Linked DNA regions of Arabidopsis thaliana. The protein of the gene in region 1 interacts with the protein of each later gene in a pairwise test. Each region holds a gene or a part of one and is shown on either strand. Other genes may lie near its edges.

Region 1 (3,600 bases):
GGGGCAAAGTGTGATTGATTCTTGTTTGAAGAGGAAAAATAGGGAGTCATATGTACATAAATAGATACGCCAGTGGAGAAAATGACTGATAATAATTAATGAGTGATTAATTAGTCGGCTGACTTTCTTATTCATAATATCTTCTGATCATATTTGTGAATCGTAATTGTTTTGCTTTTTAGATTTGTCAAATATGCACAACACCTTTTAACTATCAATTCGTTTTCTTTTCTGTTTAGTCTTTGATATATAGTTTTCTTGATATTTTGATTGGTTTACTAATTACTACAAGCAGGCCGATACTTTTAGTTATTTATATTTTACGAGGGAAAATTATGGTCAATGAACATATTCTAGTTAAAACATAAAAAGATATCACATATATAAGTAATTAAAATATAAAATTTTGTCATTTGTAAATATGTTTGGGCGAAAATGTTTGGACATCCCATAGGTTTTATGTGGCTATGCGTAAAGTTTCTAATAGTTAGACTAATCAACGTTCCTAAGAGATCATCAGAACTAGTTACACCTTACACGTAACGTTAATGATTCGTCTAAACTAAGAGACGATAATTAGCCACAATAGAAAATACTATATTTTGATTTTTGAGAAGTTTTATCTTCATAAAGCTTAGACATTTGAAAAAGAATAGTAAGATTATAACAAATATATTTTACAATTTTCAATATATACTAAGAAAGATGAATTTGCCTAAACTCAAAATTAATATGTGTAAGAATTTTTATAATTGGTTTTCTCCATTTCTTTTAACAAAATCATATGTATATTCAAATATACTACCTGGCAATTATTATATGCATGCTTATGTTGGTTTATGTAATAACTTGGATTTATTTTGTTACACTCAATTTCTATAAAACACAAATTTGAGATTTTTAAAAAATATTTATTTAAAATATCTTCATAATAATTCGAATTTACTTTTATATTATTTTTTTCTTTTGTATTCTCTAATTCAATTATATTTTTAACGTTACCATATATATATATATATATATATATATATATATATTACGCTGGTCCTAATTAGTAGTATAATCTATGTAACACCGTATATTTTGATTCTTTGAACAGCTTATATGAATAATCATCACATAAGAAGGAGCCTTCTTCATCACTATTCACTACATATAAAAATTCGTTTCAGAAAAAAAAGATCAATGTTCTGTCCACATCAGAGTATCAAAATAATTTTCTAAATTTAGTGCTACATCTTTTAACGACAATTGTATGTCAATGAGATAACTCCAATGGTGGAAACAAAAGAGAAGCATTACAAATTTGCTTTTATATATCTATAAAGCACTGTAACTATGGTTTTATAAATAATAATATCAAACTGGTAACTCATTCAAGAGTCACAGAGGAGAAAAAACAATCCATCTGTTTCATAAAAAAAGCAGTTGGATTCTATTATATCATGTGGATCTCGTGAACTACCATAGAGCCATGGATTAATCACTGTCATTCTGTCAATAATAATTCTATCTATTTATTATTCTGTTGTCACATATGTACAAAATATATGTAAACTTCTCAGTTCTGTCTGAATCGCTGAAATTTTCGCTAAATGTGCAATTAATTTCCCGATCGCTTGAAGTTAACAGTTACGACGAGAAACTGACGTCACTTTTTAATTATTGTAAAGAATGAAAAAGAGTGTTCGTATAGGGTAATTGTATTATTGTAAAAAACTATGTATCCAAACACAATAAATACACGAACAACATTTATTTTCACTCACTTTGATCACTGTACGTAATAAGGAAAAACATTTTATTTGAATGAATATTTGTACAGATTGGAGAACCACGTAAGCCCATCTCTTTTATTTCCAAAAATAACGAAAAATTCTCAAAGGGAATAGTTTATAATGTAAATAAAATTCCAAAAATAAAACACAAAAGATATAAAGCAGCAAGAGAAAAAAAAAGTCCATGCTTTCATATTCATTGCTTTAATCTCTCTCTCTCTCTCAGACATAGACACAGCTAAGCTTCCCATCTGAAAGGAGTTTCATGTCCTAAGGACCATATTATAACCTCTCTATCTCTCTCTAAGTATCAGCAAAAAAACAGAGATTTATAGAGAGAGAAAAAAACTATGGCTCACATAAAGATCTAACAGAGACAGTAGTATAGTCCCACTTCCCCACCACCAAAGCTTCGATCATCATCATCATCATCATCATGGATCCGGATCCGGATCATAACCATCGACCCAACTTCCCTCTCCAGCTTCTTGATTCTTCTACCTCCTCCTCTTCCACTTCCTTAGCCATCATCTCTACTACTTCCGAACCTAACTCCGAACCTAAGAAGCCTCCTCCTAAACGAACCTCTACTAAAGACCGACACACCAAAGTCGAAGGCCGAGGCCGTCGGATCCGTATGCCTGCCATGTGTGCTGCACGTGTCTTTCAGCTCACACGTGAGCTTGGTCACAAATCCGACGGTGAAACTATTGAGTGGCTACTCCAACAAGCAGAACCAGCGGTTATAGCCGCTACAGGGACTGGAACCATTCCGGCTAACTTCACTTCTTTAAACATCTCACTTCGTAGCTCAAGATCTTCTCTCTCTGCTGCTCATCTTCGTACAACTCCTAGTAGCTATTACTTTCATTCACCACATCAGTCCATGACTCATCATCTTCAACATCAGCATCAGGTTCGTCCCAAGAACGAGTCACATTCTTCGTCTTCTTCTTCTTCACAGCTTTTAGATCACAACCAAATGGGTAACTATCTAGTACAATCAACTGCTGGATCTTTACCTACGAGTCAGAGTCCTGCAACGGCACCGTTTTGGAGTAGTGGTGACAACACACAGAATCTTTGGGCTTTTAATATTAATCCTCATCATTCCGGTGTTGTCGCCGGAGATGTTTACAACCCCAACAGTGGTGGTAGTGGCGGCGGTAGTGGAGTTCATTTGATGAATTTTGCAGCTCCTATTGCTTTGTTTTCTGGACAGCCTTTGGCTTCTGGTTATGGAGGAGGAGGAGGTGGCGGTGGAGAACATAGCCATTATGGAGTTTTAGCGGCGTTGAATGCTGCTTACCGACCGGTGGCGGAGACGGGGAACCATAACAACAACCAGCAAAACCGTGACGGAGATCATCATCACAACCATCAAGAAGATGGAAGCACCAGTCATCATTCCTAGGCAAACATACACAAACAAATATATTCTGTGAGATTTATTTTTCTTTTTTTGTCCTTTCGTTTGTTTGTTTGTTCTTAACAAGCGTGTTTTTTTTGCATTGCTTCTTTTTCATATATTTTTATTTATTTCTAAATTCTAATATTCTACGGATTTCATCTTGTTTATTTTTCTGATTAATGTATTGAGTAAGTAATTAAGAACCTGATAATCGATATGTTTTAGTTTGTGGTTTTTGCATGCAAGGCTTTGGTTTTATTATTCTAGAGATTTTTGCTTGAAGTAGTTGTCTTGTGAAATGTTTTCCTCATTACTATTGAGTGTGAGAGTTTTCTAATACTTGATTAGGGTTTTTGAACAATTTTTATATATGTATATTAATTCAGTACGGATTATCAATAAATTATTTCG
Region 2 (3,837 bases), on another chromosome or scaffold:
TCTTTTTCTAGATATGACTTATAAGAGCCAAACCTTTTTATGTTATAGAAATCTTTGTCACTTTGAGATACTTTTATTCAGGATTTAATAAAGAGTGTTGGATAAAGCACGTGGGACCTTTTGCTCTCTCGAGATTGGCTCTTCGAGTCAGGAAAAGTTAAGACTGTGAAGCAAACCCTATATATGATACTGTATACAATATATTTTTTGGATAAAGGATTGTGTAAATTAAATGATCAAACTATATACTTACTATTCTGGCCTTAGTGGTTATAAGATACTAATATTATACTGTAAATGATCAAAACAAGATACTATTGTCAGAATGCGAAAAAATAAAGCGAAGTCCAACTTAATAGTTTACGAACTTTTACTTCATATTATGAGTCGAATGAGAGTGAATACTGGAATTGGTGATGATGCAGAAAACCGGATTAGACGAAACAAAGAGAACATAATACAAATCATTGGTATGGAACTGACAAAACGTACGAAACAATCGATGTTAAATGGTTAGAATAAAATTTGGATGATAACCATAATAACTGCAGTGCATGTATAATCATTAAATTTTAGCTATTTTTAATACTTGGAATAATAGATGTTTACTATTTTTATCATATACCTAAAGAAGTTCTTGTAATTTGTACTTAGTACCTGATTTGTCGTTCTAATCCTAAAAAAAGATTTGGTCCTTTGTAGTTTGCTTCAAAGGCCCCGAATCTGCATTGATCATGGTCTGGCTCGGGGGTGTTAAGCACACTTTTAACTAGTGATTATATGTCTAATTGGGACATCAATATACCTCCATGCACCTAGTAATGTGACCATCCGTATAATATGTGTACTATCTCTTCTTCAGCTAAAGGTTAACGAGCATAATCTGGTTAAGCCCTATGTTTGGTTTGCATTATAACAATCTCTCTGAAATTTTGTAGTATTTTCATCAATTTAAATTAGTATATTTTCGACAATTTGAATTGTTCTTTGAGTCTGATCACAGTCAAGTACACGAACTATATGCTGATCTGATCGAATTCATTCTACTATATACACACACATACACAAACATTTTACAGTACACCACTAATACTATAATCCCAATAACAAGAAAACCTAAAATATAAGTACACATTAACAAAAGAAAACAGTTTGCAAGTTATTAAGTGGTTTTTGGATTTGGTTTATAGTTTTTAGATTTTTGCATTAATTATATATATATATATATATATATATATATATATATATATATATATATATATTTGAAACTAAATATGAAAAAGTTATAGCGTTAAAAAGTGAAAAACCAATGAAACATAGATTTTAGATTTCCTTTAAAAATCTAGATTCCTTATTTTTATAAGGAAAACCATTTCTCCCAATCTTAATTGGCTATAAAGTAGATTTTTGGAAAAAACTTAAGCCATAAACAATTTCAAAAAATCTATAACCATTTCAAAATCTTTAATCCTTTTTTTTTTTTGTCAAAACAAGTCTTTTATCCAAATGAAAAAGCACCCAAGAAAAAAAAAAAAAAAACTATCCAATAATTGAGTCAGCTCTCATAGGCTTAAACAATACTTTAAGGATCAACATTAAATAATTACCACACTTGAGGGGTAAAACTAAAAACGGTAAATAAAACACAGAAAAACGACAACGAGGGGCAAAATCGAAAATAAAGAGAAAATAGTGGGATAATAGAAGAAAGCATCCAATGAGAGTAGTGAAATCAGAGAAAGACCTTTACTCCTTTAGTCCAATACCATCCAATCAATCTTTTTCTTTTTTTTTATAAAAATCTCTCACTGAGTCTTTTTATTTAAATATTATAAAAAGGAGAGAGAAAAAAAGTTTGTTGGAGGATTCGTCTCTCTCTCTCTCTCTTTCTCTTTCTCTCATCTTCTTCTTATCTCCCTCCAAAGACGGCGACTGTATAATCTATCATTTCTTCACAGTAACGCTTTCATCGGAAGATCTCGCCGGAAAAAAACTTCTCTCTGAGATCAGATCTCTTACGATTCTCAGCTCAATCTTATCTTTTCCTTTGTTGTGCTGCTTTTCACTCTCTTCTGCGCGACGAATTTGGCCTTGTTTTTTGTTTGTTTGTCGTATCCGACGCGGAGGTATTGAGAAACCGTGGCTTAAGACGGAGGAAGAAGATGGAAGCTAACGGGATTGAGAACTTGACGAATCCGAATCAGGAAAGAGAGTTTATAAGGAGACATCATAAGCATGAGCTTGTGGATAATCAGTGTAGCTCTACGCTTGTTAAACATATCAACGCTCCTGTTCATATTGTAAGCTTCTCCCTTCTTCTTCTTCCTTCATGCGCTCTGATTTTCTCTGTTTAAGTTAATCGGTTCTTCTTATTGTTGATTCAATCCAGAATTTGAAATCTCTCTCTATTTTCATCGATTGTTGATCTTACTGATGAAGAATCGATTGGTTTCTAATTATTGAAAGCTTACATAGCATTTGTGTAATCCCAATCTGAGTTTGTTTGATCTGGTTTTGCTTTATTGGAAAAAAAAGCTCCCAAAAACGCTTATGGATTAGTTTGAATCTCTCTGGTGAATAGGTGTGGTCACTTGTGAGAAGATTTGATCAGCCACAGAAGTATAAGCCGTTTATCAGTAGATGTGTGGTGAAAGGAAACATGGAGATTGGTACAGTAAGAGAAGTTGATGTGAAATCTGGACTACCAGCAACTAGAAGCACTGAGAGATTGGAGTTACTTGATGACAATGAGCATATTCTCAGTATCAGAATCGTTGGTGGTGATCATAGACTTAAGGTAATCAATGAATCAAAAGGTTCGTTTTCTGTTTACAGTGAATCAAAGACTTATATGTTCTATATTGTTTTTGGATTTAGAACTATTCTTCAATCATCTCTCTTCACCCCGAGACTATAGAAGGAAGAATAGGAACACTTGTGATTGAGTCATTTGTGGTTGATGTACCAGAAGGAAACACAAAGGATGAGACTTGTTACTTTGTTGAAGCTTTAATCAAATGCAATCTTAAATCTTTAGCTGATATCTCTGAACGTCTTGCGGTTCAAGACACGACAGAATCGAGAGTCTAAAGATCAAAGGAGTAAGAAACTATTGAATCAGAGAGATTTTGGTTGCCATGGATGAAGCTCTCAAAGGGAAAAAGAGAGAGTGGGTGAGTTTCTTTGAGGATGGACAAGGCAAAAAAAGTATCATCATTTATCCAGTTACATAATAAGTTTCTCATTTGCTATTTTTGGGGTCATTTCACTTTCAAACCCTCTTTTTAATTTCATGTGTCTAATTTAATGAATGTGTTTTTGGTTTCTTCTCTATAGAACCAAAATATGATTTTGGAGTTTAGCTTTAGCAACTTGCAGGAATCTTTTTACAATTTGCAGAGAAGACATGTTAAAAGTGTGTGTGATCATGGGGTTCCACTCTCTTCTTCCTTTTTTAACACTTTTAGTTGCACCCATAAAGGCCACACACCGTCTTTCTTATATTTATTTTTTCTACTTTTAAAGATGAACCAATAGGGTTTGTGAGATGTGAAAAATCTCCACAAAGGACCATTAAGGAAAGAGATCTTTGTTGTTGTTTATAGATTTTGTCTTGACTTGTGATTGGGGAAACACACTTTAGCTCCATTAGCTGTAAAAAGTTTTGTATACTATTTTTACAATGCCAAAGTGTTTCTGTTTCTTTTTTCCTAAATTACAGTAGTGGATAAATATTCGAATCGGTCACATTGACAGGTGGTATCATTAGAATTGCTTCTATATGTTTTCTTTCAATTTTGTTCCAAACAATACATGTAATTTCATCAGAGGACCTTG

What was found. The genes of interacting proteins can lie anywhere in the genome.
Region 2: the proteins of TCP15 (region 1) and RCAR3 interact in binary tests that used the Arabidopsis thaliana proteins (3 or more experiments, as listed by UniProt).

Annotation. Positions count from the first base shown.
Region 1 is NC_003070.9:26,214,235-26,217,834, forward strand, and holds the start of TCP15 (TCP family transcription factor), read left to right. Parts: upstream 1-1,774; 5' UTR 1,775-2,214; coding exon 2,215-3,192; 3' UTR 3,193-3,600. UniProt on the Arabidopsis thaliana protein: Transcription factor involved the regulation of plant development. Together with TCP14, modulates plant stature by promoting cell division in young internodes. Represses cell proliferation in developing leaf blade and specific floral tissues.
Region 2 is NC_003076.8:21,558,864-21,562,700, forward strand, and holds the start of RCAR3 (regulatory components of ABA receptor 3), read left to right. Parts: upstream 1-1,737; 5' UTR 1,738-2,162; coding exon 2,163-2,300; intron 2,301-2,581; coding exon 2,582-2,797; coding exon of another isoform or gene 2,798-2,877; coding exon 2,878-3,090; 3' UTR 3,091-3,837. UniProt on the Arabidopsis thaliana protein: Receptor for abscisic acid (ABA) required for ABA-mediated responses such as stomatal closure and germination inhibition.